Lepisosteus oculatus: one gene and its partners. The protein of the gene in region 1 purifies or fractionates together with the protein of each later gene. This does not show direct contact. Links are inferred from orthologs where the notes say so. Each region holds a gene or a part of one and is shown in the gene's direction. Other genes may lie near its edges. The genes, in order: e2f1, rbl2 and sirt1.

Evidence for each region.
Region 2: the proteins of e2f1 (region 1) and rbl2 purify together in Homo sapiens (affinity purification with western blotting; 3 studies listed by BioGRID and IntAct, with this or other methods). This does not show direct contact. The link is inferred for Lepisosteus oculatus from reciprocal best matches to the Homo sapiens genes E2F1 and RBL2.
Region 3: the proteins of e2f1 (region 1) and sirt1 purify together in Homo sapiens (affinity purification with western blotting; 3 studies listed by BioGRID and IntAct, with this or other methods). This does not show direct contact. The link is inferred for Lepisosteus oculatus from reciprocal best matches to the Homo sapiens genes E2F1 and SIRT1.

What each region holds. Positions count from the first base shown.
Region 1 is NC_090711.1:15,207,337-15,217,968, reverse strand, and holds the start of e2f1 (transcription factor E2F1), read left to right. Parts: upstream 1-6,059; 5' UTR 6,060-7,396; coding exon 7,397-7,636; intron 7,637-8,665; coding exon 8,666-8,756; intron 8,757-9,912; coding exon 9,913-10,132; intron 10,133-10,632. Other genes in the region: pxmp4 (peroxisomal membrane protein 4), read left to right, coding at 585-783, 2,548-2,817. UniProt on the Homo sapiens protein: Transcription activator that binds DNA cooperatively with DP proteins through the E2 recognition site, 5'-TTTC[CG]CGC-3' found in the promoter region of a number of genes whose products are involved in cell cycle regulation or in DNA replication.
Region 2 is NC_090715.1:2,786,739-2,797,816, forward strand, and holds the start of rbl2 (retinoblastoma-like protein 2), read left to right. Parts: upstream 1-6,373; 5' UTR 6,374-6,600; coding exon 6,601-6,738; intron 6,739-8,522; coding exon 8,523-8,653; intron 8,654-9,505; coding exon 9,506-9,706; intron 9,707-11,028; coding exon 11,029-11,078. Other genes in the region: chd9 (chromodomain-helicase-DNA-binding protein 9), read left to right, coding at 1-469. UniProt on the Homo sapiens protein: Key regulator of entry into cell division. Directly involved in heterochromatin formation by maintaining overall chromatin structure and, in particular, that of constitutive heterochromatin by stabilizing histone methylation.
Region 3 is NC_090699.1:33,368,907-33,379,439, forward strand, and holds the start of sirt1 (NAD-dependent protein deacetylase sirtuin-1), read left to right. Parts: upstream 1-5,421; coding exon 5,422-5,788; intron 5,789-6,606; coding exon 6,607-6,726; intron 6,727-6,995; coding exon 6,996-7,234; intron 7,235-7,830; coding exon 7,831-7,983; intron 7,984-8,288; coding exon of another isoform or gene 8,289-8,308; coding exon 8,309-8,456; intron 8,457-9,769; coding exon 9,770-9,849; intron 9,850-10,036; coding exon 10,037-10,223; intron 10,224-10,533. Other genes in the region: dnajc12 (dnaJ homolog subfamily C member 12), read right to left, coding at 573-651, 4,260-4,337, 8,289-8,342. UniProt on the Homo sapiens protein: NAD-dependent protein deacetylase that links transcriptional regulation directly to intracellular energetics and participates in the coordination of several separated cellular functions such as cell cycle, response to DNA damage, metabolism, apoptosis and autophagy.

The sequences.
Region 1 (10,632 bases):
GAAAACTCACTTGCTCATTCAAACCTGCCGTACATTTTCTACCCATATGGGCATCAATTGGGGTGTCTGTGAAGGTTGCTAGTAAACTGGCTCTTAGGGTTCGTGCACATATTTTATATAACAATTAAAATTTTAATCATTTTTTGGAGGAGGGAGGGGCAAACAATGCAATATTCAAAAATAACCAACATAATTCCCTTTTTCCTCTGACCTATCCCTCTCATCAATTAAATTAAATTAAAATTCAGATTAAAAGGTTCACTTTGAAGTAAACTTCAGATCGGACTGTGATTTTATACTGAATCTGTTAATATCTCTTTACTGTCATATAGACATTACATATAGCCAAGGTCTAGCTTTACCACAAGTTTACCACAGTTTATGTCTGATTAAATGGGTATGCAGCTTGGATATCAGTGTTATAAGACTGTGAAACATAAATATCACAGAGCTTGATTACAGTCTCACAGTCTGACTTTCTCAAATAAGTGTATTCTTAATGAAAGCTTTAGCAGGTAATACAGTTAAGAATAAAAATAAGAAAACAGAAAACCATATGTTCTTTTAAAAAATGTTTGTGACAGCCTGAGGGACAAACTGAAAGCCATCACCCAGGCGACGTACACCCACTCGCGGAACCTGGCCTGCTTCGTCTTCACCTACAAGGGGCTGCAGGCCATACAGCAGCGCCTGCAGGGGAAGAGTCAGCACTACCACTCCTTCCTGGCCGCCTGCCTGGGGGGCTGGCTGGTCTTTGGAGACAATAACCACATCAACAGCCAGGTGACCAGCGCCTTTCCTTTCTCACTCTACATCTGTGAACCAGAAGGTTGCCTTTTTCCAACTTACAGTTCAGACATCAGTTTGCAGACCAGCTGAACCTACAGGAACATCTTATCTGATATTATCTAACATGTTGGTTACAAGAATACCTTAATTACCATGATCTAAGATGAATGTGTGAACCTTAAAAGGAATATAATTAAGTGTAGTTTAACAAACAATGTTGATGATGCACAAAAAATAAGTGAATCTCAGCAGTTTATGTCTGGAACTGTATTCAGAGATGGCTGAATTGGCATTGCACAAAACAAAAGATGTTTATCTTGATCTGCTTATAATGGAGGAGAATTTTGCTTGCTCTACAAGAGAAGAAGTCGTTCAGGCTCCTGGGACAATGACAACCTGTATGGAAAATATACTCTTTGCGCTATACTAAATTTGGAAAAGCAAATTTAGCAGTAAATTTATTTTACCTTCTCTCGGTAATCCGGGTGATCATCTGTTCCACATATGGATTGACTGTGCTAGCTGGGAAATTGGAATAGTTGGTAGTGTATTGCAAGGATCGCGGGGATGGCTTAGAATGATGAGGCACTAAAGAAGATTGTCATTGTTGTGAATTGCATAAAATCAACCTGGGCATGCTGGTTTGTTTTTGTGGTCTTTAAGATGTTCTGGGGGATGTAAAATGAAAAGAAATATCCCCATATTAAAAGGAAAAGGAGCTTGTGAATGCCTTACCTAGACTTACTGGTCACTCGGTAGACTTTTGGCCCACAGACACCTGCAGCCTTGCAGCGTGTCATAAGATGGGACTGTTCTGAAAGACAGGCATGACATCTGTGGAAAGCACATCTGTGGATCCCCCTTCTCTCAATGTGAGCTCATGAGTCGTAGCCTGAAACCCAGGTTTTAACCACGGTTAGATATAGAACACAACAAGATACTTGAAGTTTAAAATTTAGAAAAAAGATTGACCCCACACTTGAAATATAAGAGGTTGAGGGAAAAAAAATGTTTAGTTGTTATTGTACAGTCTAATGATCTGCAAGTTTTCCTGCTTTCTGTATACAACCAAGTTTGGAGCAGGCATTAAAATGGCCAGTGAGAAGGAATGCTTTTATAAACGTGCACAACTGTACATGATTGTAAATCCAGTTAAGAGGAAAATGGGCAATGTGGAAATGAGTTTTTAAACTCATTTTAAGAACTTCCCAGCAGCTATATCACCATGCAATTTACAACTGGTGACCCACTGAAGCTGAGCAGGTGTGATCCTATCCAGTACCTGAATGGGAGACCTCCTTGGAAAGCTAAGGTTGCTCTGTGGTCTTTAAAAATCCCAGGGTGTTTCTCGAAAAGAGTAGGGGTGTAAACCCGGTGTTCTGGCCAAATTTCCCATTGGCATTTATAAATCAAGGCCTCGTAATAATCCCCATCTATGAACTGGCTTTATTACTTTGTTCTCCTTCCCATTGATAGCTGGTGTGTGGTGAGCGTTGTGGTGCACTGTGGCTGCCGACACATAATCCAGGTGGGACTGCACATTGGTGGTGGTGGAGGGGAGTCGCAAATTATCTGTAAAGCGCTTTGAGTGGAGTATGCAGAAAAGCTCTATATGAATTGTAAGGAATTATTATTAAAAGGGGGACGGTGCAAGAACTATATTTGAAAATTGAACACTACAAGGAAGAATGCATTACTATTTGAAGGCTGTCAGATTGTGAGCTGTGCAATATGGTACATTGCTTTCATTCTCCACAGATAAACATGTACCTTTTGTCCCGGATCCTGTTTGCTCTGTCTCGCTTGGCTGTAGAGAAGGGCTACATCCCCCAGCCGAAGAGAGATCCTTTCCCTCTGTTCGCAACCCTGGTGTGGGGCATCGTGCTGTGGCTCTTCGAGTACTACCCCCATACTCTCCAGCCTTCACTCCAGTCCTCAATGAACTACCTCTACCACGACAGCAACACCTGGCATGACATCTCTGACTTCCTCCTGTACAACAAGCCCCGGGCTGGGGCTCAGAACTAACCTTCCAGCAGCTTGGACCCTTATCTGGGACGGGCTTGTCGGGTTCTCTTGCAGGCAGTTCAGATCAGTTAAGATGAAAGTTCAGGAAAATCCAGCCTTTTTAGAAGAATGTTCGTACTACTGTTTCCCCTTTGGTCTTGGGCTTGTTTTGCATAGCTGAAAGTCTATTTACTAAATGTGTATTGTGAGTGGGTTAGCAAGACCTTTATGACCCAGCTGTACATTTCAGAGGAGTCTGGAAAAATGGATGTCAATTTGGTCTTCCATCATTAAACCCCATCTCTTTAGAATTATTTAATATCATTAGAATTGGAATTTTCTTGGGGTGGGGGGAGGTGGTTTGGACCTCACCTCTTTTCAATACATTCTCAAAGAAGACATTTCCATTCCCTTAGAGGTGGGAAAGCAAAACTGGCCTCCAGCACTTCTTAGATTTTATATTTGACTAACTTCAGAGTGAAATCGCAGCTGTTTCCTGATGATCTCTGAAGAGGGCTGCCTTTCCAGAGCAGCTGTGTAATGTGCATGAATATTTTCTAACATTATGATTGAATAATGGAATGTCAGCTTATTTTCAAGATATGCCAAAACATCCTTCAGTTTTTTCTTGTCCTAGGTGTTTATCAATTTCTACGTATACTGTATATTAACCCTGAGACCAGCAGATAGTACTGTAATGTACGTGCTGTTTTCCATAAGGTTTCCAGTCACTCATCGAGAAAAGGTCCTTGTAGTTTAATTTGGCTGTGTATTTTTAAAAATACTGTTTACAGTTTACTTTCTTAATAGTTATTTGTTTGCAAGTTCTGTGTAATACAGTAAAAGTGTACAGTGTACACTTTGTTCCTTAGTTTTGCACTTACAGAATTACTAAAACCTTGTAAACAGTTAAGTTTTTTTCTTAAATCACTGTGACACGTTAAGCCTATGGTATAGAATGGTTAATATTTTTTCTGTTTTCACATTTTATGCTATTAGTTTTGATGCATGACAGAATCATGATTTTGATTCTTCAATTGTAATTCTTTGAAGTTTTAATCAACAGTAGTAACTTTATTCTGTCATGATAGTTCTTAAATGAAATAATTGTCTTTAATCATATTGGGCATAAAAATAATAGGACTATATCTTAACATAAGAACAAAACTCCCATGGCATGATAAGGCAGGATGGTAAATATAGGTTATCAGTTTTTTTAAATTGGATCAAGTTCTCAAATGCACTACATATGAAGCTTCACTGAACAGTTTTTTTATTAATAGAATACTATTATTTATATCAATAGTTATACTTTATTATAATAGAATAATAAACCATTCCATCTTCTCTTTCATGTGGGTAACAACAATAGAAGTGATTTTTTATATCTACATTGCAAACTCAGATTCACAACAGTCGTTTTGGAATTTGGGGTTTCTGAGCTTTGAAATGATTTGCTTCTCAATTGTACTGTAGAATTTTTTTTTTTCTGTTGTAGTGTGGGCATGAAAGGGCTGGCTTGGTTAAAACCCAGAAAACACGCTGCCTTGTGCTAATTTGTTGTTTAATCACTTAAGTTATTCAACATTTCAGAAGGAAGGACAGCCCCCCAAAATAACTGGTGAATCTACAGGACAGTGTTAGGAGACCCCTGACTTTAAAGCTTGTCTGAGTGAGCTAAAACATTGCTTTTGCAGAGTATTACCACTGAACATTGAAACGCACAATATCCAATATTTTTAAATAAGTTTCTCTTTTTCAGCCCAGGTCTGCCTATTCCTTATTCTGTCCTGAGTACTGTAAGGAATTGTAGCTTCAGGTGAACTGGACTGGTTCTGTGTCTCTTGATCTATGACTCTTGAGTATGTTTTGCAATCTGTGACAGCAGTCTTTTTTTAAACCTGTTTATTTTTAAATTAAGGATCCAATCCTTAATGAGAAGCAAACTGAGATCATGTTAAGAGTAACCGTGCTGATCATCGCTGTTTAAAGTCAAAGCTTTTATCCAAGTTACAGAATCTGAGTGAACATCAAATATAATACTGAAACAAAGTGACAGTGATTTCCTTTTAATGTTGTATATAAAAGGCACTTTCTAAGTGTTGACTCATCACTGAATGCATGCCATGTATATTGAATTTTGCTTAGTATATGTAAATAACATAAACTGCTCAGAATAAATTTTTTAAAGCCCTACAGTGCATTTGTTCTCTTTGTTGGCTGTTGAAAATAATAGGATCCCTAGTGTACAGATATAAAGTAATGTTGTCATTTGTGTGTTCTCCTATTTACTTTCAAATTCTATGTAAGCTTATTGTTGGCAAAAAAGAAAGTGAATTGCTTGGTTCTCTCTAGCAATAGTGTCTAATCTGAAGCAGACACGTTCATGCTCTAGTCTGTAAAGACATGCAGGGCTGGGCCCCTTATCTGTGCTGCCAGTAGTATGCAGGACTGATGAACAGTGCAGGGGCTCCGCAGGGGTGGTGTGGTGGCTCTGTGTGCTTGCGGCTGGAAGGTTGTGGGTTCGAATCCTGTGGTTCTGACCCCTAGCTTCTCTCCCTGTCTCTGTGTCTCATGGAGAGCAAGTTGTGGTATTTGAAAAAAGACAAATTTGTAATATAAGAAATTGTTTATGGCCAATAAAGTAGCCTTATCTTATAAATGAGCAAACTTTCAACCCTTAGGTACTTGTTTAGGTTGCAGTGGCTGATCAGTCTCAGAAGACCCAGCCAGCATCTTCCTGAGGTTCATGGGAGTTCTGGCTTCAATATCTTGGCTTGGCAGTTGTTCCTTGGCATGTTGTGGGTCTGTCCAGTAAATGTTTAAGGAATCGGAACGTTTTGTGATTTAGTCACAAGCTTGTTCAAAATATCACATTTTTACGTTTCGGCAAATTCCGTACTGGAAAGAAAACCTGCATCGTTCACAGTTTAGGAGTCTACACGCAGCACGTTAAATAATTCTGTTTCGGATTGCTGCGATTTTCGGAAGGCCACGTTTTTCAGAGGGGGTGATTATAATCTCACACGAGTGACATTAAACTCCTGTGATTTCTGCAAGAATTTCCTTTGTGCTCGACCTCAGTGAGTGAAGACCCGCACACAGACCCATCACCTTCCTGCTCTCCAGCACAGCTGCCCTTCGCGGGGGGTGTGTGGGTGGAGCCAAAAAAAGGGTAGGTGCCGCCCCGTCAGTGCAGAGCTCCTAGAGCTCCACCAATCCGGAGGCGGGGTTAGCACACGTGCAAGTTTCGCGGCAAAAAAGATTTGGCGCGCAAATCCCCAGCTCTTGTCTGATCAGCTGGGACAACAATAACAATAACAAGAACAAGTTGTAGATGGGGCGACGGGGGTTCTGTTGCGGAAAGTACCATACATTCACTTCTTAAGGACTATTTTTTTCTGAATTTATGCTGGGGAATTTTTCGTTGTTTGGCATTTTGGGTTGTTGGAAAACATCTGCTTTTACGCGTATGAAGGATTACGCTGTTTTCTGCTTCCTGAATACTAGCTCAAAAACAGGGGTGTGCTTTTATTTTCGCCTAGATCAATGGAAAGAAACGGCCGCAGAACGAGAGCATATAACTGAATGGACAAGGCCCTCGGGATGTTCTTGATACACCTTTTGATTTCAGATTTATGTCTGCTGAAAGACAAAATGCGCTGCGCTAAACTTGAAAATGGAATTTAAATGAAGAAGCACCAAATATTTTTAGAATATATGGAATCAAAGCATTCATGCTCTAGAGATCATTAAGATGGACAGTATTATTTTTGTGCATTTCGCAGACACGAATGGACTGTATTGATATCGAATCGATTTGTGATCGTAAGGCGCAGACGGAGCTGGGACAAAGGGCAGGGTGCTCCGGAGAACTTGAAAACCGAAAGAAAGATCGTGCGGTTGCACGGGGTTTTTACAGAGGCTTAGTGAAGAACTTAGTTGAGAATGTGTGTTTTTTAAGGGACCTTAACAGTTCGCATTAAGATGCATAGATGCATGCGATAAGAAAATGTATAGTTGATTATACAATGATTGCGTTACTGGACTGATGTAAAATGTAGGGAATCTAAAATGTAAAAATCCTGTTCGCACTCAGAGGCGAGTGTATGATTCAAAACGAAATTGATGATATGGGAAAAGTCTGGCTTTTTAAAGTTAAACTTGTGGCCTTTCGCATTTTATACTGACTTATTGTTTCGACCGCTTTCTGTCAGGCTGGTTTGAGGCAGACTAGGGGCCTGTAGTTAGCAGTCGAGCTCTCTTGAGTCTTTGTTGTGCGTTGCAATTACAGGTCCTGAGCTATACCAAACATGTTTCACTTGCGCACCCACAGACTGTAATTACACGTAGCCGAATGCCAGGGTTCAGCAATTGGCTTTTATGTGTTATTAGGATATACACCCTGTAGGTACAGTGAGGCAGGTTTACTTCGCGAAAATTAACATTACTCTTAAGATAATGGCTCCGGTTGTACTCCTGTTTTTACCATTGTTCCACGCGGAGACATGAAGCTTTGCCACTAAAGTATCTCAATTACTGCCACAATCCGAGCCGGGCAAAGAAGGGGGGGAAACGGGCAGCCGACCCGCGGAAGGCCATGTCCGAGACAGTGGTCACAGGTCAGACTTCGGAGGACCTTCTGGCTGACTTTGAGTCCATTTTGGGATCGGGAAGTATTGAGCTGAATGAGGATCAGATTGTCATTATCTCCACGCCGGCGCATGTGGAGATCCAGCCCGCAGGCTCCAGCGGCGCGGCGGAGATCCTGCTGTTCGCCACCCCGCAGGGACCTGCCCCGGAGGACGAGCAGCGCCGGCCGGTCCTGGGACGCCCTCCGGTAAGGGCCTCTCTGTCCCCCGGACAGAAATACAACTTGTAAATGCAAGAGGCTGCTCATCTGTTGCGCAGATGGATAAAGTCCGATATATATGGGCATATGGTCTAGTCGTGGGAAGTGGCTGTTGAATCTTTTATTGAAGACTCACAGTTCATTCAAAAATATAACGCTCATGAAAATCAACAGGTCATCATTGTGCCAATGGCGTTTTTACTAGACTGGGGGTAAAAAAAAAAACATATTGCCAGGCATGTTTGTTACTGAGGATTGTCAGGAAGCGTAAAACTGGTCATTGATTTTTGTGGTTGTCGCTCGTGGAGTGGTGCAATAATGCCCTGTTTTGTGTTTTGATGGTTTTTCTGAGGATATAATAACAGCAGTTATAAGGGTACTGATGAGGCACAGTGAGGATTGGTGGTGGCCTGTCATTCTTCCACGACAGTAGTTTAAACTGGTAGTTTGTTGGTGTGGTGGGCGAGCTGCAGGTTGGTCAGGACTTTTCTGTCCATGTGGCCAAGGGAATCTGCATGAGGAAAAGGCTACAGTTCGCACAGCAAATGTAGAACCGTGATGCTGGCGCTGTGTGAGAAATCAGTTAATGCGAAGTTTGTTTTATAGTTAAGAAAATTGACACCAGAAAGATGAATTGCCTTTAGGGACGTGCGATTCTTTAAACATTAATGTTATGCACATGATCAGATCATCCTGTGTCAGTTTTGTGCTCTCCAGTATTTAACGTGCTGTGCTTTTTCAGCAAGTGCCATGAAAGTATGAAGTTGACGGTGCCCTGCTCTGTGTTTCCAGACCCATGCAGAAAACTTGAGTGACTGAACAGCTGAGATGAGGGGTTGTGTTGAAGGTAGAGCTAGGCAGCTGGTGGGTTGGGCGGAGGGGGGGGTACAACTCTGTTACAATTTTGTCAGGCCGCTCCAGGTCGCTTTTTCCTCTGGGTCTAGATACCCTCAGTGTGCTTCCCCGGTTTCAAGTCATGTACCCGCCACTGACTTGTCTCTCCCAATTCCGGCGCAGGTGAAGAGAAAGCTGGACTTGGACAATGACCACCAGTACGTGTCCGAGATCCGCCATCCACCCCGAACCAGGCCTCGTGTGCCGGAGAGAGGTATGAGCCAACCACTTCCCTGAAAAAGTACTTTCGAAATCCCCCAGCATGTGAGGAGATCGAATTCAGTTACAACACCCTTCAGAAGGAGGGTATAGGAAAGCCAGCTGATTCACCAGATTAAATAAAATAGAGAATACAAAGTATCTGTATGTCTGAGCTTGAGATTAATATAAATGCATAGAATGGGTGGTACAGTGGTTAACATTGCAGCACTGAGGGCCGGTGTTCAGTCCTTGGGGTGCTGTCTGTGTGGAGTTCGTATGTTCTCCTCATGTTCCCGTGGGTTTCTTCCAGGTGCTCCAGTTTGCTCCCACAGGCCAAAGACATACTGTGGCTTGTGTGTGTGTTTGCGGACTAGCGTCCCGTCCAGGCTGTAACCTCCCTTGTGCCCTGTGCTTGCCAAAAATTCTGTGTCGTGGCAGCCTGGCTCTTGGGTTACTATACAAGAGTTATACTTTCATGTGCCTCTGTGCTCTTCATTTCCACAGCAGGAAGACCTTCCTCGGTTCAGTAAATCTAGAGGAAGCCAAGTTTTCTGCCTTCTTGACTGTGGTTGATTGAAGGACAGTTTCAGAGAGGAGGGGGAAAACAGCTGGAAGCTTGCTCCCTTGGCTCCTGAAGCCGATACCTTTCAAACACCAGCACGTTCATATTTTGATCTCGGGTACAACAGAGAATATGTAAGAAAAGAGAGGTTTTGGAACACATCTTTAAAGCAAGCCTCTGACATCTTGAGGGTCTAGCAGGCGGTAGAGGCACATTGCAGCAGGCCTACCTCTATCCAGGTGGCTTGTGAGACTTAGGCACTTTGAAAGCAAAAAACTGCCAAGGAGACTTTATTTGAACAAACTCTTCAATATACACAAACTAAAGTACTCTAAGTGGCCCAGCACTTTTCTTGTGAGTCCCTTAATATAGCAAATTATGCTCAGTTAACTCCATGTGAGAGGATGTGACTCTCATCCCATCACCATTCATCTAAGTAATCAATTAATACCCCTCATGTGAACACAATAGAGATCTTAAGTGACAGGTTAGCTGAAATGACTACCCTCATTACTGCAGGCCTGCCACACACACCTTTTGCTCCAATGCCAGGACAGAACTGTTGTGGATTAGCCCTTCCCTGATTGCCCAGACTCTCCTTCCTCAGGCCTGAAGTCCCCCAGTGAGAAATCTCGCTACGACACTTCCCTGAACCTCACCACCAAGCGCTTCCTGGAGCTCCTGGCCCAGTCCCCCGATGGTGTGGTCGACCTGAACTGGGCCTCGCAGGTGCTTGAGGTCCAGAAGCGCCGCATCTATGACATCACCAATGTCCTGGAGGGCATCAAGCTAATTTCCAAGAAGTCCAAGAACAACATTCAGTGGCTGTGAGTCTCACCGCTGCTTAGCTAAGAAGACACCCGGTGACAGGAACTGCTGAATGCAGCTTCTACAGATCTGAATGTCTAATATAAATGCCTCCTGTTTTCAATCCTCATTGCATCTGCTTTGTGGTTCTGCTTTTCACCCTGTGCCGTCATTGTGTTTTGGATTGGCTTAGCTGAGACCTTGGACAGAGTTGTCATATGCACAAATGCAATGAAATGAATACACCCAACTCTCCAAGTTATGTATGCAAGGGTTCTCTTCCACAAGGCTTTATGAATCCTAAATCTTATTTAAGTCAGGAGCAACCCTTTCCTAGCCATTGCATGAACACACATAAAGAATGACTATTTATGATACTGCAGCAGGGCAGGTCAGTAGCGAAGTGGTTAACATTGCTGCCTCGCAGTGCTGGGGCCCTGGGTTCCCAAGATGGGATTTTGAATGTTTTCACTGTGCTCAGTCTCCTTGTGAGTGTGTGTGCGCATTTGTGTCTGTGTGT
Region 2 (11,078 bases), on another chromosome or scaffold:
GACGCCCGTGCCTACAGACACGAAAGGCGAAAGGACAGAAGGTCAAGGCGCTGACCAGTGCCCGAGTGACCCTTCGACCTCAGGCGCCACCGCGCCCCTAAGTGCTTCAGCTGTGGCTGCTGCGGCTGCTTCCTCTAACCACCCGTTAGCTCTTAACCCCTTGTTACTCTCCAGTATGCTGTATCCAGGGATGCTTCTCACTCCAGGCCTTAATCTTCCCATTTCCGCGTTGTCTCAGTCCGGCGTGTTCGACGCGCAGCAACAGAGCACGAGTGCCCGCCCGGCCGCCACCGCCTCAGGGGAGACCCCGCGGGGGGCCGGCGGGAGCACGCCGGCCAAGGGCCAGGAGCCCGGCGAGCAGAAGGAGAACAGTGCCGAGGAGGGCTCGGAGAAGGCCGGGTCTTCGTCGTCCGAGTCCGAAGGCTCCTCCTCGTCGTCGGAGGACTCGGACTCCAGCAACGAAGACTGAGCCCCGTGTAGTCTCGATATAAATATATATATTTATATATAGATAACCCTGCACTTACGTTGTGTTTTTTTTTCTTTGTAAATATCAAAAACGGAAGAAAGTGTTGTGTCATTTAAAAAAAAAAGAAAAAATGAAAAAAGAAAAGATCCCTATCTAGAACTGAAATGAAATTTCAGTGTTTGTTCAAAGGTACAATATTGTTTTGAAAGACAATTTGCATGTAAACCTTTATTAGATTTCTGAAATACATGAACTTGTATAACACAATGGTGTACAATTGCAACAGATAAAAAAAAGGCATTATTATAATTTTGTTGGGGTTTAATTTTATTAAAAAAAGAGAAAATTAATGCTCGAGCCGAGCTGTACATTTAATATATTTGGAGTGGGGATAAAAAACACAGGACTTTATACATATTTTGATTTAATTTGTAAATAGTTTTACAGCCTCCTTGACACTTATAATTTACAGATCAAACTTTGGAAAACTCAGCAATAACTCGGGCAGCTAATGAATGTCACAGAAGCTGTAGATTCTACATGTTCTTTGCCATTTTTCTGCAGATCCTAAAGAAGCTGTTGCTCCCTTCAGTGTGGTTTGCTTTGGTGCTCCAGGCATGTCTTTGTGCGGTCTTACTCCTGCTGTGCTGGTTCTCCGTCTAGAAAGTGCTTTGTGTGATATTAGGGAAGGAATAAAGGTGACAGATTAACAGTATATAGGCCTTTTGGCTATCGCTGTATACATCACACGCCTATCTACGTGTGTGTGTATATATATATAATGTATATAATTGTTTTCTTTTAGCAATGGGTTGTCTTAACTGCACTTTAGGTTCTTATGTGCTCTTGCACAGGTCAGTAACAGAGGCCTTGTGCTAGAAGGCACCTGTTTTCTGTGGATAAACACCGATAAACCTGTTTGCTCTGTGCTGGTGCAAGTCCAGAACCACACCACTGAGTGCTAGTGGAAACCAGACAGCGGAGCGAGTCGGAACCGTGCCGAATGATAATCCGCGTGGGAACGGGAGCCGGGCTTAAAAAGAAAAAAAAAAGTTTTAGAAACGCTATCTTGAGTTGTAGTGCACTGCTGATGGGAAGAGGAAAAAAATCAACTTCAGGTACAACTGTGTGTTCGGAAGAATATTAATTTAAAATAACAAAGAGGGGAAACGAAAACCTTTCCCAGTCAGCCAACGAGAGTGGCTGTTACCTCAGCTGAGTTCTGGTGTCGAGTTTACAGCAGTTTACTTCGTTGTTAGCAGTTCAGAAATAAAAGACTCGAGTGTCCTGCACAGTGTTGTTCTCGCCTAGCTGACTGTTGTGACTACGTTGACTCACCGGGCTCTGGTGGTGTTGTGCTCTTTCATTTCCCCGATTTGGTTTTGTGTGTTTGTTTTGTTCTTTCTGGCATTTCTGCCCCACCGCCCCCCCCCCAAGGCTCAGAAGAAAAGTCTGTGAGAGAGAGCCACACTTCTGTCGGCATTGTCGTTCAGGCTTCTCCGGCTTCCTGTGCCGGGCTCTGTAGACGGTAGAGGAGGGATCAGATGTAACTGTGAGTGTGTGGTTTGTAAAGGAACAGAGTCTTGGTCGCCGGGAACTGCGTACCAGACGCCTCGCTCTCTGTTCAGTCCTTACAAACGGATCCCTGGTGTTCTGAGCAACTAAAGCGTTACGATATGAAATGAATTGTTTTGTTGCACTCAGTTGCTGACGTCAGCTCTCACGCAAAAGCAAGTATCGGTGTATTGAGGGAGGCTGTTGTAACACCATGATAAAGCTATAAATAATGAAAAGCGATGAAATTTTATAGTTTGCAATTTTATGAAGACCACTCTGCTGTTTTAATTTTTGTAGCAATAAGTGGTGTTGTGCTAAGGATCAGGATTTAGGCATAGTGTGAGCCGTTTGGGTAAGTTAGTACTTTTTTTATGAACGGCGGCAGAGGCACAGATGGAAAGCAATGCAGTATGTATAGGAAATTCCTAATGAACTGTTGCCAAATACTATACAGGCTAAATCTGTGTTCTATTCCCAGTTAGCTTGCAACACTACTAAAACTGTTAACTGAATCAGTGTGGTCTTTGCAGAGTAGAAGCTTGATGAGCTTTTGTTAATTGTTAACTTTTGTGTACCAGACTTCTTGGCCTCGTTTTTTTCCCCCCCAGACTGGAGCCATTGAGTCCTTGTGTTGCTAGTGGGATGAATGATTTAATTTTGACATTTGATCAAACCGTGACAGAAGTATTTCCGCAGGCCTTCCAGTTCGGAGCACGTTTTGCTTTGCTTTGCTCTTTTTTGTGACGTAACGTAGCGTGGAGTGTGTGTGTGTTGTGCACACCTGCACGTGCTGGCCTATAGAGACCCCCCCCCCCCCCCAGGGGGGGCTGTGCACTTCCTGAAACTGTGCAGGGCCGTGTCTGCGCCCTGCCAAGTGAGAACGAGTAACAATGCGCTGCCTTGACTGAGATGTGTGTCAAGCGCCTCAGTGCAGCACGGCGCCAATCGGAATGAAGCAGGTGTCTGGGAACTAGGCTCTGCAGAGCTAGTGCACAGTCACGCAATGGGCTGAGAGGGAGATTGCTGGCATGGAGGTATCTAAACTAGAGATGGGGGCATTTGAATAAATATGGTGGGACACTGTATATGTACTGACCCCTGTAGGAGGGCCATGATGGAGTGACGCTTTTCAGACCTGTGAAATCCATTTGTATGAGCTATTAACAAGCGCTCCTCTAAAACAGGTTGTACACAGAATCTGTGCTCTTGTTAGAGGACAAATGGTGGAGAAGACTCTGCTTGAAGGAGTTGCATTGTAATTTTCATCCACAGCTCTCATTACAGTATGCTCTACAGTAGGGGATCCCCAAAATCTCATTGCTGGGGGACAGTTTCAAGCTGTTGCCATTTTGGAATACCCCAGTTTATGACCACCTTGAATTTTTAGGTGCAGTCTATTGCAGTTGTAATTAAGTAGAATAGGTCACCTACAACAATATTTCTTGAAGTTTTATGGCTAAGGGGTCCTGACTTGAGTCTCATCTAAATGTGGATAACCCTCTGCCATTTTAATTAATTCAACCACAAAATACATACTTTTGGTATTACTGCAAGTATTGCCAGTTTAGGCATTACAGTTGCTCAGTTACCTTAATGAAGGAGTTGCCAAAAATTAGATCAACTGATTACTGAACATTTTAATTGTGGGGAGAATGTTTAGTAAAGTTTTCCCTGAGCCTAGTTTGGGAAGCTTTCTCCAATGACAGTATTACTAGTCTATTCTGGTCATGTTTTGGCATAGACTAAAAGAGATTAACCTACTTATATATAGTTAAAATAAGGAATACAGAATACTGCTGGAACAGCAGCTGAATACTGATTTTTTTCTACACAATTATCGTTTCTCCTGCTAATTGAACATGACACTCTGGTGACAGTTGTCAGCTAAAAAAACACATTTCCTAACTACAGGTCTTGCTGTTCACTCTAGTGAACGAGTGCAAAGGAAGGTTACCGTTCAATCTGAGCTCGTTAAAATCATTAGGGTGCCAGTAAATCTGCATTCAGTGCAGTCAGTGGCTTGCCATATTTTTCATCTCCTCCCCCCCTTTACGACCTACCTAGTCCTAACACTGGTGTCCAGGGTGCATTTTCAGTATTTTGGTGAGAATTTGGTCAGCAACTTTCATTTGTACCCATAAGCACCCAGCACTGGACTGTAGAGTCGGTCACTTGCATTCTGGGTTTGAACAAAAAGGTTCAAGCATTCAAATGTTATTTCCATCTAGAATAAAGATTAGAGTCCTCCACCAAACATCTCCACTTGCACTCAACCTCCACTGTGTTTTTGTCTTCAGGTATTTGACACATTTTCTAGTTAAGCAGTTTAGTCTCATTTTAATTATGTCTTGGACTTCGTTGCCCTGTCCTATTACGCTGCTGCAATTTATGGGGATATGAACTTGCTGGGACCAGGTTGTGTTAATGGATACCCCCTGCCTCAGAAAAGGTCATCTACGTGTACCCTAAATTTCAGCCAACCAATATGCAAATAGACTGTATGCAGGTGTTGCAAAAAGTATGTACACTAAGACATGAAAGGGGACAAAGGAGATCATTTATGTAAAGTAGTTGCTGAAGAAGAAAATAGCTATCCTTGCCTTGTATTTGTATCTTTTGTTTTCAGCTTGATAAAACCTTGAAAGTCATTTTAAGTTGTTTTCTTTTGGACAGTTGCAATATTTGCAAGTTGTGGTCTGTGTAGTCAAATAATGCTTTCTGTAGTGGAGGAAAAAAAAGCGTCTTAAAGTCATTTGTAATTTATTGAATTACTTTCTATGAAGTTCTATAGAGGAAATGGAAGTTTAATTATTTTTATTAAACATATTCTTTGACTATCCACGAAGTCTGTCTGTGTCCGTTATATTAACTGATGTTTCCAAAGTAAAAACTATTTTAAGATCAAATCAAGTGAATTTTGTACTTTTGTTTTTCCGTGCTTTTGCGGGGTAATGTCATTGACATCGCAAAAATATGAGGCGAGTTTATCAAAAGACAGGCACACTGTGTTCGGTTAAATAATAAAAATGCTGAACGTTTGTTAAAATTGTACAACGCACTACTAAGACCTAATTCAGGTCTTATAATTTTACTCATCCTTTTATAAACAAGATGATGCTGCAATGAAATAAGTCCCAAGAACACTCAGATGCATTCCAGGATGTAAGAGAATGTCCTATAAGGTTCAAAATAAAAAGACAAATCGCATAAGGGTCAGAAAAGCTTTTCATCTCTCTTGAGCAGCAGACAGACCTCCCACCACCCAGAGCCGGTCCCCCTGTGGGACAAGACCCTTAGCGGACCAGTGATGGACTCCTCTGTGCAACTGGTAGCCCTTGTACAGGAAGGGCCCTGCATCTGCATGATTTTATTTCAACTCCACGCTTAATGAGCCGGGCCAGCTCTTCGGGTGCTGTGGCTTTAAACGGACCTTGAAGACTACCAGAACTGGCACTGGACACCTCTGGGTAAAGGGCTGATGACGACAGTTAGCCCTTCAGGAGGCATCAGAAGAGCAAAACACAGAGGATTAGACCTGGGAAAGCTAAGGTTGCTGCTGGAAGAGGTGTTAGAGGGATCAGTAGATCACCCCGCTGTGTTTGTGGGTTCTAGTGCCCCAGTAATGTGATGGAATATGAGTATAAGGAATTATGATAATACACAAAGGGTTGACTGCACTCTGCTCAAGCCTGGCTAACTCTTGTGTTTTGGAGAGCCTTGCATTGTGTCTTGTGTTAGTAGTGCTGCACAGACCCAGGTCCAGAGGACTCTAGTCCCACCTCCCAGGCCCTGTGGTTCAGACAGTAGAGCTGCCTACAGCCTGGACTGTGCTTTAATCCTTGTGGTTCTTTGGGTGTTTGTTTAATACAGTCTAAACCCGACTTCCTTGTAATACTCTCAGCGGAAAGGACAATTTTGCTGCACATAAAACGTCAGAAATTTTAATCACGAGTCCTGCAAACCTTCTGCAGCGAGATTCGTGTGCAGAGTGGACTCTTATGTTTCCAGTCACAAACTGGTTCAGCACTTCATTCTATGAGTTTTAACAGGCTTTGCAACAGAGCGAACTAAAGCATAAATGCAGCGCTCTCTTTCTCGAAAAGGAAACAGTGCAGAGCTCGTTTTAAAAAAAATAAACGCCTCATTTTCCGCTCCGCGGCTGCAGGAAGTTTATGTTTGGGCTCTGAGTGACTTCCGCGTTATCCATTCCAAAAGTGGGACGCAGTTTTGGGGGCGGGCTTTGGTCGCAGGCTACCGCTAATTTACCAAAGCTGTTACGCCAGAAACTCTGCGCAGCAGTGCGCTGTGGAGGGGATCTGTACGGATCCAGCGTACGGCAGTAGCAGCTGTCACTCAAAAGGCATTTAAATGGCTACACTGTACAGGGCTACATAATTGCACTGTACAAAACACCGATACAGGTTTGCCTTTTAATTTATGCATGCATTTTAGTAAAGTGTTTTTCGAAACTGCTAATGCAGCTTCTTGTCATGCCCTCGTAGCCTTGAAGTGGTTTTCCTTTGGGCTGGTGTCTGTTTAATCTCGAGTTGAGCGAAGAGTGCAATAAAACAAATATGAACGAAGAGGAAGAGGCTTCTCAGGCGACGAGACAGAGGTTTGAGGATCTCTGCAGGGCGCTGAATATGGACGAGGCGGCCGGCGATGAAGCCTGGAGGAATTACGAAAAAATCAACAAAAACTACACCTTAGAGGTAAGACAGCCGAGCCAAGTGCAATACAATCGCACCGGTTTAGAGACTGTAAAATGGTAGTGATCCAAAAAGTCCCTAAGCACAAACTCGCACTGACCAATCAATATTATTTCCTATTGCAATGTAGCCCAAGTAGCTTTTTTAAAAGAAGAAAAGGGGCAAATATCCTCGTACAATGTAATGACATTATTTTCTCTTACATTATTGTGAGTGTTAACGATGCGACGCGGAGGGGAGGGCCATCGGCTTGGCAACCTATCGTTATCGTTTCTGTGTGGCGAATTGGTATTTTCAGCCCAGGACCGACATCGTAATAGAAATGGTATACAATCTTGAACCTTTACTAAAATCAACCCGTATATGTCGTTTTCTGGGCGGCTTTAGTCGAGTAAAAGGTGTTTGCTGGGAGCGAACATTTTTAATTAATAATATATAACCTTTTTTAGATTATTGCTTTGTTATTTTCCGAGTGTGAACGGTAATAAATGAATTAAAACAATTATTGTATTCGTAGACATACGCCAACGGAACGATCTCCGATGAAAACTGATATCAATATTGTATTTGATAAAAACGTCTAGCCACATCTCAAGAATTTATTATTATTATTATTATTATTATTATTATTATTATTATTATTATTGATGATGATCATGATGATGATTTTCAGTTATTTGGTTGTATCATAATTGCTGTAACTTAACGAAATGTCTGGGTATGGCCCTTATTTCCATTTAAAAATTGAAATATTTTTCATCAAATGAAAAAGAAGCTATTTACATAATCTAAACTAGATTACAATAATATAATATATAAAAAAAAGTGTTAAAGTGTTGCTTTCCAAATATTCAAGAAGTCCAAGCTGCTGGTCCTTGAGTTCAGTGAGCAGGGCTTCAGAATTGATCTCCTTCTGATCTGAGCTCTGCATCACTCCTCCCAGCCCTGACTGGACTGGACACTGTGGTCATATTGTATAATCCAGTAGAAATATATCGCCACCAAATACGATGCCGTGTCTCAGCAAGCTGGCCACTCAAGGCACACCGAAATCCCTACAGACGCACTGGAAAATCACAAAAATCACAAGAATCACAGAAATCACAAAAACACAGAAATCACAAAATTGAGGTAATGAAAATAAGGTGACATCTATCATTATGAAACCTTATTTTCATAACCTCAATTTTGTGATTTTGGTGTTTTTGTGATTTTTGTGATTTCTGAGATTCTTGTGATTTTGGTGAGCTCGCGGAAAAGACATTTAGTTGCCAGCAACCACTGCTGCACGATGTATTGTTGTGCATTTGATAAATAAACTTTGATTTGATTTGATTTGAAAGCAGGGATACGGCAGCTACACTGAAAAAGGAGCCTCTTTTCAGATTTCACACTACAGAGCCCTGCCAGGAAGGCGCAGTGCCCTTTGCGAGAGGAAAAGAACATAAATCTTTGGCTCAGGGTGAGACGTTTTGGAGGCATTAGTGTGCGTCTTACCTCCTCCTTTGTACTGAGGTCACCCTGAGGAAAGTACAGCAAAGGGCCACAGGCACTCTACCACGCAAAGCAAGGAAGTCCATATTCCAGGTATTGAAAACCCACAGGAACCCTGCAGGTCCCCTGCAGATATTGTGTGTTATCAGCCCCCCAGAAGGGAGTTGTGCTTAAAAACAACAGGAAGCGTGGGAGATGAAACATGCGCTCTCTCTGTGCTGGACTTGCAAGCCCAAGAGCCAGAGCCAGTGTTGCAGACCTGCCACCCTCCCCCCGTCTCCTCTCCCCCGCAGGGCAGCGAGCTCCACTGGCTGGCCTGCTCTCTGTACGTGGCCTGCAGGACGGCCGTCCCCACTGTGGGCAAGGGCACGGCGGAGGGGAACTACGTCTCGCTGACCAGGATCCTGCGCTGCTCTGAGCAGAGGTAGGTACGCCAGAGGGTGGAGAGGCAAAGCCAAGAAGGGTGAAGAGCCATTCTTCCTTCTCATCCGGAGAAAACACGACCTCAGGGTGCTGATACCACTGCAGCTATCTTAATGGAAGAACCTCATGTGGGGAGTTGTGTATTTTTCATTTGTCTGGTTGACTTGCTGGGATGAAAGGGCTTACCCATTGAGTTTACACAAGGCCCTCTATGTGGCAACATCCTTCCATGCGTTTTTAGGAACCACTTTATCTTTAGAAGGTCGCGGTTGAATTGGAAAATGTCGGCCAGAAGTTTCGGAACACGCTTCACACGATGAGATGTGCACGAGGCTGAGAAGAGCTGCAGTTTAGGGTGGTGATTGGGCTCCTGGATGCTTCAAACCCCTGTGAGCCAGTACTGTTGTACCCTTGAGCGAGATACCTCATTGACACTGTAAGGGGAGGATAGATAAGGCTGGACTCAAGGTATGGTAATGCCAAATGTGTCCAGTTCTTTCATTTGCTACAGTCCGGCAGGAGACTGGAATCTTTCAGTCAGGAGAGTGAACAGAGGGACTGTCAGCAGGTTGAGCTCTTCATTTAAAAAAGCACTAAAAATAACTAAGGAGGTGCTCTCCTCTCAATATTCTTTATTTATGCTTACAGCGATCCCATGCTTGTATTCACTGGGACTGGTATTAACATTGTTCATGAAATACCAGCAGTATAGCTGGACAGTTGGGTACACACGTAAGTCAGTTTGGACAAAGGCATCAGCCAGACAAAGGAATATGACTGCAGGCTTGCAGTGACCAAGCTGACTAGAGGCTAAACGCCCGCGTCCCTAACCCCGGCTCCCCTGGCCTGGCAGCCTGATTGAGTTTTTCAGCAAGATGAAGAAGTGGGAGGACATGGCCAGCCTGCCCCCGCACTTCCGCGAGCACACCAGGAAGCTGGAGAGGAACTTCACCGTCTCCGCCGTCATCTTCAAGAAGTACGCCCCCATCTTCCAAGACATCTTCCGGGACCCCTCCCAGGACCCCCCGCGGGTGCAGAGGAGCCGCAAGCAGCGGTCAGTCCGCCGGCCGCCCCCTGCTTTTTTCAGTGCCGCGACGACAGGAAAGCCTGGCGGTCTCTGTCCCCGAGTCTTGAGCGTGAAAGCGGTGTCCAGCTGTGTCACCTTCTGGCCCAGAATGAGCTCAAGTCCAGTTTCTCGTTGGCTCTGGCACAGTGACACACCAGCCAGTTCTCTCTCTATTGCTTTCAGCTTAGTCCCGACCGGAGTCGTGCCACTCACTCCAGCTGTTAGCAGCTTGCAGTTTGCTCTGATCCTCCCTCAGCTCGAATTCTCCTTGCCGGGGACCCCAGTTTTTTGGGGACCCCAGGCAAGATCTTGGAAAGGGGACCCTCCAGATCCCAATTTACACATACACTACTATTACCAGCTCCCACCCAAACTTATTTCACTAGTTAGAACAATTAGATAAATGGATTATATAACTAAAAAACTATTTTAAATTATTATTATTATTATTATTATTATTATTATTATTATTATTATTATTGGCCTTCAAGAGCACATGAAAAACGAATTACAAACAAGAACAAAAGAAGCACACATTTTACAAAGATAACGTATTTTAACATTGAAACTAATAACATGAAATGGGACTACTAAACCTAACTTCTTGTAAACCACCTCAAGTAGTCTATATTTCTAGCTAGAAAATTGGCTTGTGTCCCGTTCGCTAGTCACATGGATCTGACTCAAACCACATGGAATACAAATGTGTTATTACATACATGAATTGAGTTGACGTACCTCTGTTTTGAAATCACTTATCCTGCTCCATCTCATATTTCAGCGTCCTTTTGGGGGACCATGTGCATTTATTATTTGCAGCGACATGATTTTAGTTTTAACTCATTACAACATAGTTTGCAACGAAAGTCAAAGGTCACGTGTAACGCTTGATTACGTTAGATGTAATGAAAGATGAATAAAATTGATCGTCACAACATTTACTAATTTTCCGAAATGAAACTAACAGCACCCAGCGTAGCAGCAGCTCAAACTGCACTGGTATCGTCATCTTACGCAGAAGACACAGAAGACGAGAGTCATTTACCGCACAATTAAATAAACTGCTACACTTGCATTCGAAAGCAATAATATTATAATTTATAACTAACAGACTTTAATAGCCCAGATTAGCACAGCAGCAATGGAAAGTGCCACTGGGGGGTTGTTTAGGTTCACATTCGAACATGCCGATTAAAAAATGTGTTGTGTTGCACACACCCCTAGTGGCTCCTAGTTCGCCCCAGACAAGAGCCGGCCCTGTGCTCACGACAGAGGATTGCTAAAGCATGGCTGACTGTTCTTATCTCCAGCAGACGCCACCCCTGCACCGTGTCGGAGGTCTTCAGCTTCTGCTGGATCT
Region 3 (10,533 bases), on another chromosome or scaffold:
CTGTCACTCACATCACATTTGTCAGGGCTCATCTCCCATCAAGTAAGGAATGAGTACCAAATCCTGAAGGTCATGAATTTCACATCTAGATGACTGTACCCTGTACCCTAGGCCAGATCTTGAATAACACACACTTCCTGTACCCTGGAACATACTGTGGCGATGCATCTGAGCCCAGTGAAGGGAACAATAGATGCTGTAAGAGAAATCAGCTAACCCAATAACTGCAAAAATAATAAATCACAGTAAAGAACTTCAGATCTACAGAATTAGTCTACATCAGTAGTGGACATTGCAGCTTCATTGACAATAGGAAAGGAAGAGGTCAGTTTTACAGCATCTGTTTCAAGGGTTAAGGCTTGCATTTCAATCCCAGCTAGGGCAGTCTGGGACTGCAGTTCTGAGGCAGGATCAAAAGTTAATTTCAACTGCAAAGAAGGAGATGAAAAAGTGAAAATATAAATATTCACACTAAATGTGAACACATTTACTTGTCACCGTTTAAAATGTTATTCAGTTACACTGCTTAGTGCATGTGAACATTGCAGAAAACACAGTAGAAGAGTAAATACCTGCTTTGGGATTTTCCGGATGCTTGTCTGGGTGACATGCTAGAGCTCTGACTTTGAACTCAGCCAAGATCTGGTCCACCTAGAAAAGAAAAAAAATCATTAATGTTCCTTTGACAGAAATGTAAATCATATAAAAACAACAAAAATGTTTTTTTTTTTTAACTTATCTGGGTGGCTTTACTGATTCATGCAGCGATTGTCAGTTTTGTGCACTACTGTGTACACAGTTGGAGCACTAATTCACACCTCAGTTTAACAGTACAACTGGATACTTTCCAGTATTCTGACAAACGTAGGGATATTTAACATTATTCCAGTAAAAAAAAAAAGATTTCTGGTAAAATGTAACATGTAACAAATGTAACGTGAAGCCAGCAGCCATATCACCCTGCAACTCACAACTGGCAACCCACTGAAGCTAAGCAGGTGTGAGCCTGGTCAGTACCTGGATGGGAGACCTCCTGGGAAAAACTAAGGTTGCTGCTGGAAGAGGTGTTAGTGGGGCCAGCGGGGGGCGCTCACCCTGCGGTCCATGTGGGTCCTAATGCCCCAGTATAGTGACGGGGACACTATACTGTAAACAGGCGCCGTCCTTCGGATGAGACGTAAAACCGAGGTCCTGACTCTCTGTGGTCATTAAAAAATCCCAGGGCGCTTCTCGAAAAGAGTAGGGGTGTAACCCCGGTGTCCTGGCCAAATTTCCAATTGGCCCTTACTAATCATGGCCTCCTTATAATCCCCCTCTATGAATTGGCTACATTACTCTGCTCTCCTCCCCACTGATAGCTAATGTGTGGTGAGCGTTCTGGCGCACTATGGCTGCCGTCGCATCATCCAGGTGGATGCTGCACATTGGTGGTGGTGGAGGGGAGTCCCCATTACCTGTAAAGCGCTTTGAGGGGAGTGTCCAGAAAAGCGCTATATAAGTGTAAGCAATTATTATTATTATAATTCACTATTGTCAGTCTTTGCTCCATTTCTTGACTAAGCTTGCTTTCTTCTTGTCCTATGAAACTAATAAATAGCTATATTTTTATTTCATTTTATGCAACTGGTTTAACTGAAACATTTCCTAACAAAATGTATAATCTTAAGTCAGTTCTGCAATTCCGATTACAATACCTTGGGAAGAATCAATTGGTCCTGTTTTGGCAACACAGCAAAAAAAATACCATATTTGTGCTTCTTTACAAATTGGAGTTCACGTGCAACATCTATGCATAAAAGGAATGACATCAAACCAGAGACACAAGTAAACACGTCAGTTTGCGTCCTTCTAGCTTCTCTCATACATACAATCTACTTCCTTTCTTGTCTCAGAGTCTTATCAGAAATGTTTTCCATTGATTTGCACCTGAAAGGATTATCTATGAGAAAACTGCTTGCTTTGAAGAAGAGTGGAAACAAGCACTCTGGTGAATCTAAACGGAGAACAATCTTCATTGTGTGCAAAGCCAACGTTGTGCACGTCATATCTGCAAAATGCTTGAATGGTCCTGAATTATATAATTTGTATGCATACCCATAAAGGGTGGAAAATGGTGTTTATTTCGCTGGTGATATGCAAATTAGAGAACTCTAATGACATTATCACACTTTTTCCTGCCTATGTTACATAAGGTTTGAAGAAGCGGCAGTGACCTTGAGTAAATGAAAGAAATCCAGGGAACCATGAGCAGAATGTGTTTTGTTGAACGTCAACAGACATGAAATGACGTTAAGAGCTGAACAGCCCTCAGTTTTCTCAGATTAGAGTTGTGCATAGGTGTCAGGGAAGCTGATCTGCAAGTGTCCAGAACATAGATGGGTTTGGTAGACTGAAAAATCCACACATATTGTGATGAGACAGACTACGGTTTAGGGCACCTTAAGGCTGCTGTTTGTGTGGCGTGAGCAGAGTACAGTAGATGCTGAGGAGTGCTGTTCAAACTCAATAAATACCCAAAAGACAAAATTAAAACTAAATGATTTGCATGACCTTTTCAGTGAAAACACATATAGATGCGGAATAATGTACTGAATATATTATTTTCCGTACTAATAACATCTCTAGATTTACTTAAGATCTTTGGCATTTCCAGAAGGTTGTCTAGGGTAGTCCTAGCTCACTACTACTACTGATAATACATTCCATTTCCTGATCACTTGTGACTGCAGTACTTATCACATTGTTTTTTGTGCAGCATCTATGCATTAGTCTATTCTTACACTGTAAGACTATTCACAGAGACAAAGAAACTGTGAAACATTAAACCCATTGTAATTACAGTGTCCAAAAAACACACCCATCTCATCCATGTGCTAGACAGCCACTGTGTACTGTAGCTGGCTTCATGCCTAATCATGACTAGAAGCTTCTGGAACTCATGATGCTACATCTGTAATCACAAGCCGATAGCTGAGAGGCTTGGTGAAAGTGCTGATAGACAGCTGTGTGGGACATCTTCAATCATGCAGAAGCTGCACACCAGCTGCACTCTGAACATTCAAGCTGCAGAACACCACTCCAGGTCTCAGAATGGGACCTTAATCGATTGACAAGGATGACTGGGCATTTAATTCACCACTGCTGACATTGTGACTTCCCATTTGTCTGTTTTACTGTGGAGGGAGGGAGGTTAGATACAGTAAATATCTTGGCAAATGAACTCTTGTAGTCTGGACAGCTGTTGTTTGGGTCTTCACAGGTAAGCTGGTCATCAAACATTTGTGGATCTCAATGTATTTTATCGTTTAATTTACAGAGTTATTTTACACTGAAATATGTAGTTTGTGACAGCATGTAGTGCGTGAAGAAATTAGCAAGGACATTTATATCATCTCACCCTAACAGCCAGTAATCAATACTAACAGAGTGTAGTTAAATATAAATAATTACTTTCACTTCTAGTTTTAATTAACAACATGGATTTAAATTAATCATGGGCAGAACATCCTCAGTAAGACTTTCTTAGTTTTTTTTCCTCTCCAGAAATTAGCAAACAGTGAAACTGTGTACTCCAATATAACTTTTGTCGTTTAAAAACATCAATTTCAGGAATCCCAAAGCTTGAGCAGATCACCAATACATCATCATAAATAATATTACAATAAAACGGCAGCATTACCCCCAGAAATCTATAAAAATGGCAGGGTTGTTCATTCTTTTCTGTTCCATGTAAATGATACTTAGGCAAAGAAGGCGTATTTTAGAATATTTTCAACAAGTACCAATTAAAACAGGTACAATCGCTTGCAAAAGTCTACATTTCCACTTACTGTCATCAATCAAAATAACTAAACATCTTCTCCACTTCCTGTTAGCTTACAATACAATGACACAAACACTGGTTTTCCATTGAAGGGATTTAAAGAAAACCAACGGGTGCTATTTCGATGCACGTTGTATATCCTTCACACCGATGGATATGTTCAATAACACAATGAAGTTTATCTATTAAAAAAAGAAGTGTCTCTCTCCTTTATCCAATTGCTACAGTACCACCAGAAAAAGACGTGAAGAAAAAAAAACATTTTAAACATCTACACAGATGTTTAGTGTTTAAATTAGTTTCTCTATCGCCATTCAATAAACTTTTAAACTGAAGATGGGTCTGCAAAATGGCAACGTTAGTAGAAGTTATTGACTTAAAACAGGGAAAGCAGTAAACCAATTCAACACTTCATTTTAGCTGATTTAAAGCTTACCGAAGACAGTTCATCGCATCCAAGCAAACCGTAGTAGTCTTCCAGATCTTCAGGTTTGCAGTTCAAAATCGCGTCCATCTGAAGACAGGTAAGGTTTACCAACACTAATCAAGATACGCGTAGTTCAGTACCAATTGCTTCAAATATGAGCAATGAAACAACTTTACCTTAAACCTGCTAAATGTAGCCTATCTTATGACTCAGAAAATAAAAAAAAAATCATTCCAGTTCTTTCACGCAACGGTCAGCTGATGCTTTTGAGCATTTTGATCCAGAGTTTATTGGACCAGCGACGGTGGGAGGAGAAAATACACACTGAAGGGGCTTTGACTTACATTACACAATGCAATTTGGGATATGTAGTCGAGATGTCCAGTACATCTCCTGCGTTGTACCTAGAACCTGTTAGTATGTCTATTATCCCGCTTCGTAAATTTTAAGTTAGGTCTTTTAGTTTACATTCCGTATATCAGGCAAAAGTACCGTAGAGTGTGATTCAAAATCTCGCATCTAGCAATCACTGTTTAACACCAGTATGTATGTTTTAGAGCCGATATCGGTGCACAAAACCCTTTATAGCACCTATCATCATCTAACCGAAAAAGATTAAGCAATAAGCAACGTCCTTTATCATGATTAAATGTGATATACATCTTTAATTCAATAAATATCAGAGACACAGTCATCCCTGCTTTCCATACTTGCTCGCCTCCGAGCCTATAAAATAACGGAAGCCATTTGCCAACAACGCCTGTGCCTTTCAGGCAGATACATAACGCTTAAACTTAAATTTGGTTTGATGGCCGAGATGAATCATAGAATAAAGTTGCAATGGTTATTAGTATGATGGATTATAGAGAGACGTATAGATAGAGAAAAGTCTTGTGATGAAGCAAGGCGTTATCCGTTAGATACAGCCACGGTACTACATTCTTTGTCAGCCCCGAAGGCGCCTGCGCAGTCGCGTCGTTCCGCCCCTGGCTCCACTCTAGTCACATGACATCGTTTGTTGTGGTTGACGTCATCGGCTGGTAGCGGTGTCGCGTGGGCCACCGCTGGAAGAGATCGAGTCACGTGGTCCGTTTAAATCTCCCATCAGCTGTCGTGCACGGAAGATTTCTATGGTCGAGTCTGAGCGGCGAGGAGCCCGAGTGAGCTAAAGATGGCGGACGGAGAGAATATCCTCCTAAACTCCAGCGCCAGTGGCTTCGAAACAGATGAACCTCTGCCTAAAAAGCCGAAGGTGGGATTGGCGTTTAGTTACGGGGATAAGGCCGCTCAGATCGATCAGGAGAGTGGGATCGGGGCCGGCGAGACTGGGGCGGCGGCTGCCGTAGCACCAGCAGCTGCAGCGGTGTCGGCGGCGGCGGCGACGACACAGCGGCCGGGGTTGGAGGAGGTGGTGACGGTGGGACAGGCCTCGGCTGCACCAGGAGGAGACAATGGGCTTCTGGGCTTGGAGCTGCAGGAGGGGCTGGGGGAGGAGGGAGAGAATGATCCGGTCGGCGGTTCTGCTGCAGAGCGACCAGGTACGGAGTTCTCCGCGATCGCTGCTCACTCCTGTCTGGTCCACTTGAATTAACGTGGACAGTCTAATACAGTCTGTAGAACTTTTCACAACTCTACCGGTGGATAAAAATTACATAATAAAAAAGTGCAACATAAATGCCGTGCAAGGGTAACCATTCTGCACCAAGCGTACCTATTTACCCGCCATGTACAAAAAACTCCGAAAACTTAAAATTCTGCATAGTCTATATTGAACATACATTTAATATAATATTCGTGATTTAAAATTGAGAGTAAAATTTAACGTAGCATTTTTCGTGTATAACTTTAAGGATTAATATAGGGCCATGTATTTCTGAAGTGGGCATCGCAGTTTTGTACAGAAAATTAACTAATGCAATGATCAGAACGTGCACATATCAAGAGTATGGCAAGAAGGTTTTCTTACGATTTACTTGCAGGAAAGTACCAGTGCGTCTGGGGTGCATAGTATAAGGTTATTAAAGTAATTAAATAACGGTTTATATAGACGCTGGATTCTTTACCGAATAATCGTGATTTCCTCATACAATTTCACATCGAATTATACCCGTCTACTTGGCGCTTTATTATAAACTCTACAATCAATTAAAAAAAAACACCAGAATCAGTCACACCTCTTTCCTGTGCATATATAATTTGTAAAAAAAAATCTGCAGATTTCCTTGTCAGTCTTTCAATTTTTCAGACATGGCGTTGAAGATGTTTCCATTATTTTGTGATTAACTGATTTGTACAAACTCAGTTAGGTCAAGACAGAGCCGTGATTCAGTTTTCTTACTTTTGTTTTTGCTGACAGAGTACATTGATCTCAATGATGAGATTCTGCCCAATGGATTCCATTCCTACGATTGCGATGACGATGATGACAGATCTTCGCACGCAAGTTCTAGTGACTGGACACCTCAGCCCCAGATAGGTATGGCTTTTAAAATAGTAATAAACAGTTGTGTCAGTAACGCAGACATTGTAGTTTTATTCAGAAGACAAGAGTTTGTGTATGGGTTTTAAATTTCATTCTTGCAGACAAAAATGACAGTTGCATTTAATTTTTTTTTGAATATGAGATTCCAGTTGAAGTATTGCTGAAGTGGAAGACTGCTTTTGGAAATTAATTTAATAGGTTTAAGAGATATTAAGATTGTGTCAACTGAAAAATTGATTCAAGTCAAATATGTTTTGTTTCAGGCTCCTACAGTTTTATTCAGCAACACATTATGAGAGAAACAGACCCTCGAACGATTTTAAAAGACCTTCTCCCAGAAACTGTTCTTCCTCCTGATCTGGATGATATGACACTGTGGCAAATAATAATCAACATATCGGAGCCTCCAAAAAGAAAGAAACGCAAAGACATCAACACCATGGAAGATGTGGTCAGGTTACTGCAAGAATGTAAAAAGATTATAGTTTTGACCGGAGCTGGGGTATGTAATTATTAGAAATGTCACTGAAGAAATACTAGAAAGGCTGTGTTTGTCTTAAGAGCTACAGCGGAGTACATCGTTTCAAAAATAATGTAGACATAACTGTATAGCACATAGCAAATTCAGGCAAATGTTACTGGAAAAGCATATTGTGTAAAGCTTTTTATAATCCTATATGCCTCTCAGTAACTCTTAATATCACACGGACTTACTCCAAAACCTACATCATGAGCTTAAAATGGTGCACTGTTTTAGGATTGTTGGATGTTAAAATTTGGTTAAATAACTAAAAGCTGAGCAGAAATTCTTTGTAGCTGGGAGCTGAATCTCCTCCTTCATTGAATTTAATGGAATAATAAGAGGAAATGCTGTAATTGGGGAAAAAATGAGAAAATCTAGGTATTTAAAATTATTGTATGCGCAGAAGGAGCGGACACCAACAGGATTTTTCCTTCTAATGGAATCTTGAGGGTGTTTTCAGTAAACCTAGATATATCTTTCTTTAACATCATTACATGGGTCTTTTGAAATAAGTAATTTAGTGTTGGATTTTATGAAATGTGAAAAGAGCTGTAAACATTTCTTTCTGACTGCAGGTCTCGGTGTCCTGTGGAATACCTGACTTTAGATCCCGTGATGGCATTTACGCGCGGCTTGCGATTGACTTCCCCGATCTTCCTGATCCTCAGGCGATGTTTGACATAGAATACTTCAGGAGAGATCCGCGACCCTTCTTTAAGTTTGCCAAGGTTTGTTCATTTAAATGTAAGAGCGCCTTGCCTATGTCACAGATCGCTGCCGTCATTATTAAACATGCCAGAGTGACTGTGACTTGTGTTATGAATAAATATTTTACATCCAAAGCATTTTTTGCTTACTTTTTTGGGAAATTGCATATTAACATGTACATGCACCAAAATCACTACATTTTGAACAGGAGATGATTAAAAGTATAAGAAGAAATGGTCTCCATTTTTGGGGTGTGTAAAATGTTCTAAAATTATTTGAAACATCTTACATTCTCTATCAAGGGCGGAGTTTTTGGGTTACTTACAGTGTGTTCTGCTCTCTCAGGAGATCTATCCAGGACAGTTCCAGCCGTCGCCATGTCATAAGTTCATTGCAATGTTGGATAAGCAGGGGAAGCTTCTTCGAAACTATACTCAGAATATCGACACACTGGAGCAAGTGGCTGGAGTACAAAGGATCATACAATGTCATGGTTAGTTTACCGTCCGTGATGCGTTTAATACATTTAAAATACAAGTCATGAAAATTTTCAGATAGTAGAGAAACCTATAAGACAGAGTTGCAGTGTCCCTGAAGGTTTTGGGGCCATGAGGTCTAAACTAGGATTTTTACCATGAACTCGAATAATAATTTCTCATGCAAAGGTCCAAATGAAAACCAAACAAACAACTCGTTGCTGAAGTTACCAAAAGATAGGGAGCAGAATAATGGAGACTGCACTACATGACGTGTGTGAAAGTAAACCTTTCATCAGCACCAGGAACAGGAAAAACAGAGTATAAATTGGTCTCAAGTGTAAAGGTGAATCACAAGAGTTTAGTAACTGCCTTATGAACAGGTGAGACAAAGATCAACCTTTACCAAAAGTGACGGAAAGGTAAAATTGTGGATAAAGAAAGGAACTGCAGATGTTTCAAAGAACACCATCTCATTTGGGAAGCAGGGCAGAGGTATTGACAAGCTACAGGATATTAATGCTCTGGAACTGGCTCGTTCATCTTTATTAACATGAACATTATTAACGACTAATAATGGCAGAAGTAGCAAAAAAGTCTGATGATTATAGGAACATTTTGTCTGATTATGTGGACATTCTTCCATACATATTGGGAAGCAATTCAGTATACAGCAAGACAATGACTCATGCCATATGGCCAATCAATTGATCATGTATTTCACATGCTGAAAAACCAATTGAAGTGCTATCAAGAACAGGCAGTGGTTGCAGCAAAGACTTGGCAAGGAATCTCAAAGGATTATACAAAGTTTGGGGAGTATAATAGGTCTCAGACTTCATGTAGTTATTGCCTTTAAGGGATATGCATCCAAATACTGTTGGCCACTTAAAACCACTGAATTGTTTTTGTTTTAACTTGAATATTGTTTGAAATGACCCAATAAGATACATAAAATGTTTTAATTTTGCTATCCTAATACTTCTGAAAGGCAATGTAGTAATAATTAGCTTATTTCCAGAATGTCTGTCTGGATGACATTCTAGAGCTCTGACTTTAAACTTGGCCAAGAGTTTCAAGTTAATAGTATTATAAGGAACTGTAGGTCCATGCATAATGTTGAGGAGAAAATTACTTCATATGCTGTCAATTCAGAAAACAACTGCATTCAATGAATTGTACCAGAGGCAATAAATAGTGCTATAGAATGTTGATTCTTTGAAAGAAAATAATCCAGATATATACCAGATGTTTTCTGATTGCCATTAAACTGTTTTATATCCGCTTAATAATTAACAGTGCATTAACGTGGCTTTTAATTTTGTTACAGGGTCTTTTGCAACAGCGTCTTGTTTAATCTGTAAATACAAAGTTGACTGTGAAGCTATTAGAGAAGACATTTTTAATCAGGTATGGTTTGAACATACATTTGTGGTGCAGTAAGGATGCATTTTAAAATTACAACAAAGTTATTAGTGTAATTATAATTTTCAGTTGTTGCTAATGGATTAATAGTCATATTTCTTTGGCCATGGTGGTTTTAATGTAAATGTTACAAAATCTCTGGAATCCCAACTTTTTTTCCTTATGCTCCTAGGTTGTACCTCATTGCCCCAAGTGTCCACCTGATTTTCCTCTTGCCATCATGAAACCAGACATAGTTTTCTTTGGAGAGAACTTACCAGAACAGTTTCACAGAGGCATGAAACATGACAAAGATGAAGTGGACTTGCTGATTGTCATCGGATCTTCACTGAAAGTGCGACCAGTGGCTCTTATTCCAAGTATGTTACTAAAGCAGTTCTAATGCTACATCGCTTTGCTGGAAAAGAATGCTTTTGAAGGCTTCTAGGCAATCCCAGTCTCACGCAATACTAAAGTAAAGCAGTGTGGCAGTAAGAAGAACAGTAGCAGTTTGGAGTAAAGGACACAAAGCAGCAAATCAAAAGAAATAAAGATGGTAAAAAAATAGAGGGAGGCCAGCATGAATTGTTCAAAATCCCCATTTTGCCATACTGAGTTGTATTTTCACTTCAATGAGAGACCTGGAGTTAATTGGCTAAACAATTTACATTGTACCCATTTCTGCTATAG